Linked DNA regions of Macaca mulatta. The protein of the gene in region 3 interacts with the protein of the main gene of each other region in a pairwise test. Links are inferred from orthologs where the notes say so. Each region holds a gene or a part of one and is shown on either strand. Other genes may lie near its edges. The genes, in order: NIF3L1, KCTD17 and DMC1.

The links.
Region 1: the proteins of DMC1 (region 3) and NIF3L1 interact in binary tests that used the Homo sapiens proteins (3 or more experiments, as listed by UniProt). The two-hybrid records come from large-scale screens. The link is inferred for Macaca mulatta from reciprocal best matches to the Homo sapiens genes DMC1 and NIF3L1.
Region 2: the proteins of DMC1 (region 3) and KCTD17 interact in binary tests that used the Homo sapiens proteins (3 or more experiments, as listed by UniProt). The two-hybrid records come from large-scale screens. The link is inferred for Macaca mulatta from reciprocal best matches to the Homo sapiens genes DMC1 and KCTD17.

What each region holds. Positions count from the first base shown.
Region 1 is NC_133417.1:106,005,834-106,010,157, reverse strand, and holds the end of NIF3L1 (NIF3-like protein 1), read right to left. Parts: intron 2,792-4,324; coding exon of another isoform or gene 2,784-2,791; exon of another isoform or gene 2,735-2,783; intron 942-2,734; coding exon 757-941; 3' UTR 618-756; downstream 1-617. UniProt on the Homo sapiens protein: May function as a transcriptional corepressor through its interaction with COPS2, negatively regulating the expression of genes involved in neuronal differentiation.
Region 2 is NC_133415.1:14,498,471-14,502,687, forward strand, and holds the start of KCTD17 (BTB/POZ domain-containing protein KCTD17), read right to left. Parts: upstream 2,883-4,217; 5' UTR 2,879-2,882; coding exon 2,669-2,878; intron 1,520-2,668; coding exon 1,411-1,519; intron 1-1,410. UniProt on the Homo sapiens protein: Substrate-adapter for CUL3-RING ubiquitin ligase complexes which mediates the ubiquitination and subsequent proteasomal degradation of TCHP, a protein involved in ciliogenesis down-regulation.
Region 3 is NC_133415.1:12,961,460-12,965,773, reverse strand, and holds the start of DMC1 (meiotic recombination protein DMC1/LIM15 homolog), read right to left. Parts: upstream 2,869-4,314; 5' UTR 2,715-2,868; intron 634-2,714; 5' UTR 601-633; coding exon 550-600; intron 1-549. UniProt on the Homo sapiens protein: Participates in meiotic recombination, specifically in homologous strand assimilation, which is required for the resolution of meiotic double-strand breaks.

The DNA.
Region 1 (4,324 bases), on a different chromosome or scaffold from region 3:
GGCAGAACTAGGAACAGGGACAAACAGACCTTATCATTGCAAAGAGGCTACTACCTAGAAAGAAGTATTCAAGCCCAAGTTTTTCAAGCATAATGTTAAACTAAGCAAGGGCAAAGATACCCAAATGGATCCATCCCATCCCATCTACAATTAAACTAAGGAGAGAATCACTTGAGCTGCTTCCAAAGAATGTTAAGTAAACAGATTTTATTCAATCTTTCCTAGATTTTATATGAATACTTGTTATTTAATGTGGTAGTTACATTACAGTTTTACTGTATGAGCGATAGAACATTTAGTGAATCTGCAGGGCGTGGTGGCTCACGCCTGTAATCCCAGCACTTCGGGTGGCCGAGGCGGGTGGATCACGAGGTCAAGAGATCCAGACCATCCTGGCCAACATGGTGAAACCCCGTCTCTACTAAAAATACAAAAATTAGCTGGGTGCGGTGGCACACACCTGTAGTCCCAGCTGCTCAGGAGGCTGAGGCAGAAGAACTGCTTGAACCTGGGAGGCAGAGGTTGCAATGAACCAAGATCGCGCCACTGCACTCCAGCCTGGTGACAGAGCGAGACTCCATCTCAAAAAAAAAAAAGGAAAAAAAAGAATGTTTGGTGAATCAGATTAACAAACCGGAAATGATCATACCCTCTAAGACACTCTTCTAGAAGCACACTAGTCCCACTGACTCATGTTACAAATTCAAGTTGGCATCCAACTAATTTGTACAATGTGTTATCCTGATGTTTCTGCAATTATACCACCTGAAGAGGGTCCCTGTCAGTCTCTGATAGGATAATATTTATCTTATTCTCCAAGTGAGAACCCAGCATATCTCGAAGGTCAGAAAGAAAGCCTCGTTCAGTGTTGCTATGTTCACAGAGGATGACATTTATTCCTTGGGAAGCAGCATCCAAAATATCATGATGGGACATCTCACCTACCAAAAAGGAAACAGCAAATTCTTAAATGCTAGATATGGAATCTGTGGAATGAGGAAACACAAAAGCAGAAATACCAAGTTTATATTCTATATAAAGTGAATGTAATACAGCAGAACTGTTATAAATCTAGAAAGTACTGTACAGTTTTCTTTTATGTCCTCCAACTTAAAAACAGAGAAAGGTCTGGGCACGGTGGTTCACGCCTGTAATCCCAGCACTTTGGGAAGCCTAGGCAGGGGGGTCACCTGAGCTAAGGAGTTCCAGACCAGCCTAGCCAACATGGTGAAACTCCATCTGTACTAAAAACACAAAAATTAGCTGGGTGTGCTGGCGTGCGCCTGTAATCCCAGCTACTCAGGAGGCTGAGGCGGGTGAATTGCTTCAGTATGGGGGCTGGAGGTTGCAGTGAGCCGAGATTGCACCACTGCACTTCAACCTGGGTGACAGAGCAAGACTCTGTCTTGAAAATATAATAAAATAAAAATAAAAGCCATCCCATTGAGAATTCCAACTTCTTTTTCCTTGGCAGACCCCAAGGCAATCGTCCAATCCAACATATCTGGCCAGAACCAGATCTGTAAACACCCATTTTACTGTGTTTCCACCGTAGAGAGAATGACCACTGCTAAGTAAAATGAGGCCTTCAGAAAATCTGCCTCTTATGTAATAAATACCTCTGGAGGACATTCTGTGTATACTGCCCAGCAGACTTAGGCTTTGTAAGCACTAGTATTTCTGTCGTCAACTTAGTCTAATATACAAGGATGAAATGAATTTAAGATTATTTCCAGATTAAAACAAAGTATTTTTCTTTGACTTAAGCAAAATCCCTAGAAACTCTGGAGGGAATCTCATCTGTTGTGAAAAGATTTGGGGAAAACTCAAATATTCTGAATTTTTAATTTATTTATATTTGTATTTATTTTTTTAGATGGAGTTTTGTCCTATTGCCCAGGCTGGAGTGCAATAGCATAATCTCAGCTCACTGCAACCTCTGCCTCCTGGGTTCAAGTGATTCTCCTGCCTCAGCCTCTCGAGTAGCTGGAATTACAGGCACCCACCATCAAGCCTGGCTAATTTTTGTATTTTTAGTAGAGACGGGGTTTTGCCATGTTGGCCAGGCTGGTCTCGAACTCCTGGGCTCAAGTGATCTGCCCGCCTCGGCCTCCCAAAGTGCTGGGATTACAGGTGTGAGCCACCGTGTCCAGCCTAATATTCTGAATTTTTAAAAATGCAGTTTGTGAATTTGATGACTTGTAATTTAAGAGCAAAACTGCACTGTGTACAATTTGGTTTGTTCTTTAGAAAGTACAATTTTGAACTGTATTTAGAGACAGAAGGGCATACAAATTTAAGAAAAAAAAGGTTCTTAGAAAAAAAATTGAGTTTTTTCTCTAATTTTCCCACAAGAAAACATCTGTAAGTAAAAAATAAGTTTTCTTAATTCCAGAATTTTTCAGTTCCCCACACTCTTCTAGTAAGTGTCATCTCATTATAAGGAATAATTTTTATTCGAGCACTTTTTAAAACATCTTAATCTATAATAGTAAAAGTAAAAAGCAAGAAAAAGACACTAAGATGACCCAGTTGGAAGCCTTGTTTTAGGAAAGATAAGTCTGGCTGCCTGTACTGTGACAAACTCATTGGCCGGAGAAGGCATGAAAGGGGGGAAATCTGTGAAGACCCTGCAATAATTGCTGAAGCCAACGGAAAGAAAAGCTTGGCCCAGGATGGCAGCTTGGGAAAGGAAAAGCAAATGGAGAATGAAATGACAAATGAGAGAACTTACATTTGCAAGGAGCAGGCTCCCCATCTGCTGGTCTTACAGGGTGTTACCCTTAACAACCTAATACAACGAGAACACGGCCTCAGACTCACAGGGAGCGTGATGAAGTTCAGCAGAGGTCCTTTAGGAGGGGCTTTGCATCTCTGAAGTTACACTCAAAAGCAATGCCTCACAGACCAGAGACATCTAATGCTAGCCAGGTAATATTTTCTTTTTCTCCCCACAGCGAGATAGGAAGGACATTTTAACATTTTGGAACTGCCTGAATTTATTTTATGAACATATCATTATATTTTATCACTTTTTTTAAAAACTAGTTTTTAAAAAAGTATTTATGAGGAAATAGATACCCCAAATTGAGCGAGAAGCACAAAACAAAGAGCCTATACTCTTTTAAAAATGTCAGTGTTATGAAGACAAAGCTGAGGAACTATTCCAGACTGAAGGAGACTAACAACAACTAAATGCAATGTGAGATCATGGGCTGGATATGGATCAGAAAAAGAAATACTATAAACTTTTATCAACTGGAAAAATGTGAATATGGACTGTATATCAAGTAAATGTTTTAACAATATTAAATTCCCTCATTTGATAATTGTTCTATAGACTTAGAATGTCTTTGTTCTTAGAAGACTATACACTGAAATATTGAGAGGTAAAGAAATTGTCATGTCTGCAATCGATTTCTAAAATGGTCCTGGGGGAAATACATCTATATATATATATATATATATATAAAAATTTTAACTTGTATATTATATATTATATATCTATATATGCACACACAAATGTATACAGACACATATATAATATGTACATAAAGAATGTACAAATATGGCAGAATATAACCATTAGTAACCAAGGTGAAGAGCACATAGGAATTCATTGTACTATTCTTGCAACTTTTGCATAGGTCTGAAATTCCTTCTAAGTAAAATGCTAAAATGAATTTTAAAATAGCCAGACACAATGCTGTAAGATATTCATATTGAAATTTCACTTTAATCTGGTAGAAATTTAAGGACTTACAAAAATCTTTTATCTTCAGAAGAATGGAAAACAGGTAATAGTCACATACATGTTTTTTTTTTTTAATCAATTTATTGGTTTAGAGCAGTTCCATCAGGCTTTCTCAGATGCTGCTCCTTGGTACTTCGGGATGTGACAATGCTTTCAGTGCAGCAGCCTTTGTAAGAGAGTGTGCTACACAACAAGGCATGGGTGTGGGAGGCAAGGGAAGCATGGAAGTAGCCAAAGGAATGGCCAGAGGGCTAAGAGTCTAGAGCCTGGTCCTCGAAGTGGGAAAAGTAATTCTTTAACTCATTCTCTCCTAACCCTAAGAAGGAGGAGGTAAACAAACTGGCAACCCATTAAAATGTCTTCAAATCCTTTGCAGGTATAATGGGCCATGTTTGGTCACATTCCTGAGTAGTAACTACGTGAAGTAATTCTTTCAATAAAAATTAGCCAGGACCTATTAGGTAGTATCCTTAAGGAGAGAGTGTAAGGCCCAGGAGCCAATTACTGTCCAACAGAAGTGCACACTGGAGATCAAGGACAAAGTGACAGGGACCCACAAGAGGCAGAAGC
Region 2 (4,217 bases), about 1.5 Mb from region 3:
AGCCCCCGGACAGGCCCGCGTGATCCCCTAGCCCCCGGACAGGCCCGCGTGATCCCCTAGCCCCCGGACAGGCCCGCGTGATCCCCTAGCCCCCGGACAGGCCCGCGTGATCCCCTAGCCCCCGGACAGGCCCGCGTGATCCCCTAGCCCCCGGACAGGCCTGCGTGATCCCCTAGCCCCCGGATAGCCCTGTCTGATCCTCTAGTCCCGGACAGGCCTGTCTGCAGGTGTGGGAATAGCAGGGCTTTGAGAACGCAGGGCGTGTAAACAGGTGCTGGCTGTGACGCAGCTTGGGTGTTTACTTCCTTCCCGGCGGGGCCTGCTCCTGAGCCTAGGCCACTCCCATGGTATCTGTGCTCCCACAGGGATTAACAGGGAAGCTGTGGGGTTCTGCAGGGCCAGGTACCCACAGTGGACTCTGGTGTTGCGGCCCTGACCTGCTAGAGAGTTGCTGGGCCTCCAGACCACTGTGTCCCATAGGGCTCAGGGAGGGCAGACCATGGCCCAGAGCAGGAAGGCATGCACAGATGCAGGTGCTGTCTGTGCACAGGATTCATGACATCTCCCTCCAGGAGGCAGATCACCGCCCCCATTTAACAGATACCAGTGGAGACGCAGCGAGGAGAAGTGACATGTTCAAGCTGGTCTGGCTGGATCAGCTGACCCAGAGCCACACCCTGTGTCCCAAAGAAGAGTTAACTTGGCATTGACTCTAGTCCTTGCCCCTGGCTGGGGCTCTGCTAACAGGTCGTTCTTCCAGACACGGCTTCCCCACTGTTTGTTAGGCCCAGATATGGGCATATCCAGGGCCCCTGCCACCTAGGCCTGGGGATAACCAAAGCCCCACTGGGAAGCAGACTCCCCCCTCCCCTGCCTCCACCCACAACCAGCACTGTGCCGCACAGGCTGCCAGACTTAGTGAACAGTCACCCGCTCCACCCACTTACAAGCCCTCACCAGGCAGAATTGGAGATACTGGATCAGCCAGAGAAAGAGAGAGAGAGCGCTCTCCCCATGCCTGTCAACACCAAATTCCTGTCACCCCAGCCTCCGGATGTGACGGTCCACATCTGGCTTCCTAGGAGGCCAGAGAGAAAGGGCATCACAGCCCACCGCAGAGGCCACAGGGCATTGCTGACTTCCTCTATCCCCTGCGCGTGTGTCTTTGTCACCTCCCTGACAGCACCCTGGGAAAGCTTGAGCCCGTCCGCTTGGCAGAGCCCCAGGCTGGGCACAGGCAGATGCTTGGGAATCAGACTCGTCCGGATGGGAAGAGGCAGGAAACAACGAAGCAGGCAGACGGCCATCCTGGTTGTCCAAATGGCTTGGGGCCTCCACAGAGGGCCCTGGCAGGCTGCAGAGGGCCGGGCTAGGATGTGGGCCCCAGGCCAGTCCCCTGAACCAACTCACCCTCCTCAGCCATGTCCTTGTCCAGCACCAGCTTGCCATGCCGGAGGAAGTTCAGGATGGGCCCGAAGTAGGTGGGGTCACGGTCAATGAGGTAGGCCCCGGTCTCATCCTATGGAGGTGAGGGATGCTCCGTGAGCGAAGAGTGAGGCCTCTCCCAGGCCAACCCCACACATGCACAGGGAGGGAAGCGAGTCCAGGGAGAGCTCTTCCCTGGATGGAGCAGGCACAAAGGAGCAAAAAGGCACTGGGGTCAGGTGGACCTGAGTTCAAACCCTGCTTCTGACTTTTCCTGAATGTGTGACCTTAGGCTAATGATTTGGCCTCTTTGAGCCTCACTCCTCTCCTCATCATCAGGGGTCGCTGTGAGCATCTGGTGACAGGAGGTCTGAGTGGCAACTGGGCCAGCACAGGGCTCAGAGAATGTCCCTCTTAGAAGCTGTCCCCTGATGCCAGCCCCACTGTCGCCCCCAGGTCCCCAGGCTTTCAGGGAATGTTTACAAGTTTCCAAAGAAGCCACTATCTCACTGGACATTCAGGCAGGCAGGGAGGCAGAGTGGGCTTCCATGCGACTCTACAGAGAGATGGGAGACATTGAGAGGCGAGGCGACTTGCCAAAGGCCACAGCATCGGAAGGTCACGGATGGGGGACAGGAGACCTTAGAGGTCATCTTCAGACCAGCCCTTCGTGTTACAGATGAGGAAGGAGGCTGAGCGCAGTGCAGGGAAGGGTCCGACCCAAGGTCGCAGCAGGCAGCGTGCAGCAGAGTCAGGGTGGGTGCTCAGAAACAGTGCCCGCTGGGCCAGCGCTCCTTCTAGATTCAGCCCGCTCAAAAGGCGCCCCAGGGCTCCTCCATCCAGCTAGCTCCCTGCACCCCTCCGCCACCCACATCCCAAAGGGCAGGAGAAGTAGCCTCGTCGACTCCTTCCCCAGAGCAGGAGTCCCCTTTGGGAGGGAGGAAAGGCCCCAGGTATCTCCCTGTCCACTGCCCCAAAGGAGAAGGTGAGACCCCGATCCAGGGCGGCTGGAGAGCTTCTAATGGCCGCGACCTGCGGTGTCCCGTTGCCACGGCAATGGGCACATCCCTCACTACCAGACCCACCTCCCCCTTCCCTCCTCCTGCCGCTTCTTCCCGCCTCCAGTTCCTCGGAAATGAACGCAGCCGGGTCCCCAGCCTGGCGGGCGAGCCAGGCCCGACAGCCCTGCGTCGGGCCAGCAGAGGACCCACCGCCCGCTCGCCGCCCACCCCGGGGGCCTCACCCGGTCCGACTGCAGCTCTTCCCCCTGGCACAGGCGGCTGAGGAAGGACTTCTGCTCGCGGCACAACGTCTGCCGGGTGGTCAGGAACACCGTGCCCCCGACGTTGAGCCGCACCCACTTGCCCCAGCCGCCTGCGGCGCGGCCGCCCGCCCCCGCCGGCGGCGCTCCCTCCCCGGCCTCCATCCTCATCGCCGGCCGCGGCGTCTGCATCCTCCTCCCGGGCGCGGGGGGCGGGAGGGAATCACGCGCGGGGCAGGCCGGGAGCTGTAGTCCGCGCCTCCTGGCTCCGCGTGGGCCGCGGGGAGGGTCCCGCCCCGCGCTGCTCCCGCCCCGCGCTGCTCCCGCCCCGCGCTGCTCCCTCCTCGCGCAGCTCCCGCCCCCGGTCCCGCCCCGCTTCGCCCTTCCCTGCAGGCCCGCAGTCTGGGCTAGTGAAGCTAAATCACTGTGTATGGGGAAGGTCGAACTCCCGAACTCTGGGAAAAGAATGAGTGCTTCCCCAAATCGCAGTCTTCCCATTGGTCCGAGCGTTTTTGTTTTTCCTTTGTGCCATCTGCGTCATCCAACTGCTGATAAGGGAAGAAACTTCCCCGACGAGGAATCCCCATAGCATTGACCCGCATGTGTTTCGTCATATTTTTTCATTTGCCCGTTGTGTGTATCGGGGTGGGGGCGGGGTGGGTGGGAGTGGGTTCTTTCCTTCATCTAAGTTCTTGGAGAACGACATAGCTGGACCTGAGGTTGGCTGAGCACCTGTATGCCAGACACTTTGCGTAAGTGTGTTATTCATTTAAGCTCTCAGCAGCCCTGTGAGTCTGGTATTTTGGGATATACCCATTTTACAGATGAAGCCACAGAAGCTAAGTGACCGCTCTACTCACATAGCTGGTGAGTGAGTACCCGCCAAGGCCTCTTTCCTGCTCCCCGACCATGGAATGTCAGGGATCCTTGGGAAGGACTTCTAAGGAGGAAGAGTAGAGCAGGCCCTGGATCCCAGTCAGGAGAACTGAGTTTCCATTCTGGCTTTTGGCTGTTCTCAGTTTTTCCAAGTCCTCCCCAAGCAGGAGGAGGGATTAGTTCTGCGGGTGGCTTTCTGAGTTATTTCCCAGTTAACTTGGAGGGGGACTGTCATTCTGTGGACCTCAGGATGGGGAAAGGGACCCCACCATGTGGTCTGGGACCAGGGAGGGACAGAGGCTGACAAGGAAGCTGTTTCCTTAGCTTCCTCTCCTTACTGGTTTCAGTCCTGGTCCTGGCCTATGTGGGAGAGGCTCCCCTCACTGATCCAATGTCACACACAGCTAGCCTGAACACTGGGCATCCTGGCCCTGTATTGGGAGAAGTTTCCCTGTTACCACTCAATGCCCTGGTTTCTGCATAAAGCTTTTCTCCTTGGCAGGGAGTGGATCAAAGGTGTACTGGAATCCTGCTACTTAAAATTCACCAGGTGTGTCCTGAGCAACTTCCTCTCTGAGCCTTGGCTTTCTGCCTTGCCAAATGGAACTTACAATAGTTGTGACCCCAGAGCATTGTTGTGAAGATTAAGTTATGA
Region 3 (4,314 bases):
TGATTCTTCATATCCAGCTATTTCACATCTTTTAAAGAGGTAATTCAATACTATGAGTCACTCCAAAATGCCTCAAATTCCACTTCTCTAGAGATTGAGGAAAGATCAATACTGTTTTTCAAACACATACTTAGAAGCACCAACATTGAAAGGGCTGGGAAACCAGTTACCTTTGTCATGTCCTCCCTAAAATTTTGAAACCTTTACCCAAAGGACTGGAACAACATTTGACCTATTTTAAATATGTTTTCTCAACCCTCTTCCCCTCCAGATCCTAAACTCCTTCCTCTAGGACCAGGCTGCTATTCGGTACCAGTGTATACAGGTATCAGTATGGCCATACCAGCTGTTAAGTTATTAAAATACTTTCATACCAGTTGCTAAGTAGCTAATCTTAGCATCCTTGCCAAACAAGTTGTTGCATATTTGCAATATATAACTATGTGTTATTTCTACTTTCAGTTTCTAAAAATAGTAGCTAACAGAGAAGGAACTTGATTTTTGTGGAATGACCGAATATCTATGTATCTTTCAACATTCTAGTCATACCTCTTCATCTTGGAATCCTGGTTCTTCCGCCACAACTTGATCCTCCTTCATGTTGAAAGGTGAGCAAAAGAAAAATAATCACTTCTGGGAAAAAAAGAAATATTATGTAAGAAGTAGTCCTTTGTCCAGGGGCCTCTGATTTCATTTCAAAGTCACCAAGGACTAGAAGGACAATAAGAGAAGCATTTAACTTGGAAAGACTAGGCCAGTCTATCTTCTTTCTGTGAGGCATGTGGCATTATTTCTTGTGTGTGTGTTTGTGTGTGCATGTGTGTGTGTGCGTGTCCCCACATGCACACAGGTGCCTGAGGGGCAAATTGGGGGGTGATTAGTTTCTTCTCTTTCCCCAATAGTGATCACTTATCATCTGGTTTCCATTGCACAGCTAATCATGACTTTATTACTGCCTTGAAATGTTATTTAAGGCCGGGCGCGGTGGCTCAAGCCTGTAATCCCAGCACTTTGGGAGGCCGAGACGGGCGGATCACAAGGTCAGGAGATCGAGACCATCCTGGCTAACATGGTGAAACCCCGTCTCTACTAAAAATACAAAAAAACTAGCCGGGCGAGGTGGCGGGCGCCTGTAGTCCCAGCTACTCGGGAGGCTGAGGCAGGAGAATGGCGTAAACCCGGGAGGCGGAGCTTGCAGTGAGCTGAGATCCGGCCACTGCACTCCAGCCTGGGCGACAGAGCGAGACTCCGTCTCAAAAAAAAAAAAAAAAGAAATGTTATTTAAAATTGCTTATTGCTTTTAATCTTTCTTGTTTATGTTTAACAACAAAACTCTAAGAACCTTGACAATATATCATTCTTCCTTGTGTCCTCCCTGGCACCTCCAACTTTGTCCTCAATAAATGGATTTTATTTTTCTCATCTATGATGAATGCCTTCCTGTCTGCTGATTATGAATGGGTACTCCTGTAACACCTACCTTTTTGTTTCATAGAACATTAGCTATACTTTCTTTCACAGTATTTACTAGTTTCATGATTTTTTTTAAGATTTAAAAATATGGTGGGCCGGGCGCGGCGGCTCACTGCCTGTAATCCCAGCACTTTGGAAGGCCAAGAAGGGCAGATCACAAGGTCAGGAGTTCGAGACCAGCCTGGCCAAACCCCGTCTCTACTAAAAATACAAAAAAAATTAGCCGGGCATGGTGGTGGGCGCCTGTAATCCCACCTACTTGGGAGGCTGAGGCAGGAGAATCGCTTGAACCTGGGAGGCGGAGGTTGCGGTGAGCCGAGATTGCGCCACTGCACTCCAGCCTGGGCGACAGTAAGAGGCTCAGTCTCAAAAAAAAAAAAAAAAAAAAAAAAAAAAAAAAAAAATTGGTGGATCATAATATTATAGTAAGGCTGATAAGCAGTTAAAGTTTTTAACATTGTAGACCCAAAGAGAAATCTCAGGAATCCACAAGGCGTGATTGTGTTTATTACAATAAAATGCGGTACAAATAATCATTTTTCTTGGTCGATTCCATTTCCTCATTTGATACCAAAGTCAGGGGTTGGACCTTAGAACAAAGGGAACGAACTATTAATACGAAGGCAGGAGCAGGGTCCTACCACCCAGCACCTCAAACCGCAAAGGATGGAAGGCAACCGAGACCGTTCGGATGGGATCTTCGGGGACACTGTCCTTCAGATGGCTAGCTATGAGTACCCCAATTCCACATTTACTGCCCCCATCGAAGAAAAAAACATCCATTTCTTCTCCCCGTGATGAAATGAAAAGATTGTCCCCCATCTCTCAAAGAGCCGTCGATGGACTGAACGGTTGGCTTGAAGGCAGGGCTCCCCAATCCCCCGGTTTAAGACCACCCAGCTGTCCCCTCTGGTGGGGGCAGCAGCGCGGTCGGGTCGCCCTCGACGCCTCCCTCAACAGGAGGCCTGGGCAGACCCCGTGCGGCCGCCGGACATTTTCCTGACAGGGGATTCCCTGGTCAGGAGGATGAGGCGGGCTCTCCTAGACTTAGGTCCGATTAGATTGAAAATAAGGAGGTTGGAAATCCCTCAAGGTCACTAAAATTCCTCCCCAGGGGTCGGAGCGGAACGCTCAGAGTCGCTAGCCCGGGAACCCCAAAAAAAAGAGCGAGAAAGGGAAGCGCGCCTTCTCAAAACGAGCGTCCGCTCAGTCTTCGCACGCTGTCCGTTTATGCCACTTACCCCCCTCGTACCCACAGTCTCCCCGAGATTTTCAAGGTGAAGCCCCTCTGCCCCCGCCCGACCTTTCCAGTCCTCAGCTGACAGGATTCTAACTCGGGCCCAGAACGCGGAGCCTGGAAACCCGCGCGCCGTTGACCACAGGATTTGGCGCCAAATGAGGAAGGCGGGGCGAGGACCAAGGGGCCGGGGCGGGGCGCAGCCTGAGGAGGCGAGGTGAGGGTGGAAGGGCGGGGAGCGGGCGGGCCCACAGGGGGCGACGCGGGGAGGGGAGCTATGGGGGCGGGGCGAAGAAGGAGGGGCGGGGGAAGAGCGGGCTCACAGTTGGGGGAACCAGAGGGCGTGGCCTGCAGGGGGCGTAGCGAGGGGAGAGTCGGGGCAGGGCGCAGGGCGAGGGGGCGGGGCGAGGACTGAGGGGCGGGAAACCAAGAGGAGCCTCCGGCGCGTGGCGCGCTGAGGTGAGGGAGTGAGGGAGGGGCGCTGTGGAGGGAGCGCCCTGAGGAGCGGGGCCTTGAAGGGAGGAGACCGTTGAGCTGGGGCGTCCCTCGAACTGAGCACCTCGCTAAAGTCCGGGAGAGGACCCTGAGGCAAGGGTTCTGAGGAGGACGCCTTGAATCGGGGGAGGGGCGCTGAGCAGAGGTGGCTGACGTTGGCAATAGGTCTTGGTCGCGAGGGTCGCAGATGGAGCCTTGGGTTAGAAGGTCGAATCCGGGCCCCTTTCCCCCCGCCGCCGCTGCCCGTGACTTCTCTTTCGCCTCCGGGTTTTCATGCCTGGCTTCAGAGTTTGGCCGTGCTCCCTCAGCGTTCCTAATTTCCCACTTTCTGACTCTCACCATTTGCCACTCTTGTCTGTGATTGAGATACCCAAGGCCCATTCAGGATGGAGAGTAATTTTTTTCTCTGTCTTAACTTGAAGTTTTAAATAGACCACAGACGCCAAGTATATTTTGGTTCGGCTTTTAAATAGAAGTCGCAGGCCAGCCTTCGTGCCAGCAGCGCCATCGCTGGCAGCGTCCTCCTCCTCCCCTCACGCGGAGACTGACTTGAGGAGAGTCAGGAAACATTTGAGAGAGCAGCTGCCGAGGTGGAGGCTGTGATGTATCTTGGATGAATCTCTGTGCAAACAGTTCTTTGGGTTCAAGACCTAGTACAGGGCGATCCTTTTTTGTTTTTTCTGTCTGAATCATTTTGCTGGAATAAATAGCAAAACATTCCCACAATAGCAGTTGGCATTTTTGTGTAGGACGCTCCCCCGCCCCCAACAGGTGGATCGTTTCAAGATCCAACAAATAACTGCCATTGTGCTTCCAAATCTGTTATTTTCGCCCAAACATAGCCGTCCCTGTTATATGGAAATGAATGCCCATTTGGGGAAGGAACTGGATAGTGATGAAAGGCTTTCACTCTGAGGCCTCACCTAAATAATTATGGGAACTTTTGAGCAACTCGTTAGGTGAAGACATCAACAGTCTACAGAAGAGCTGCAAAGAGCACAGCAAGATGATTTAGGGAAATATAACATATGTAGTTTGGTGTAGTGACAGCTGGGAGAGAGAAATGTTCATAATATTTGAAGGTTGTGTGCAGTACACTTAAAGAAACT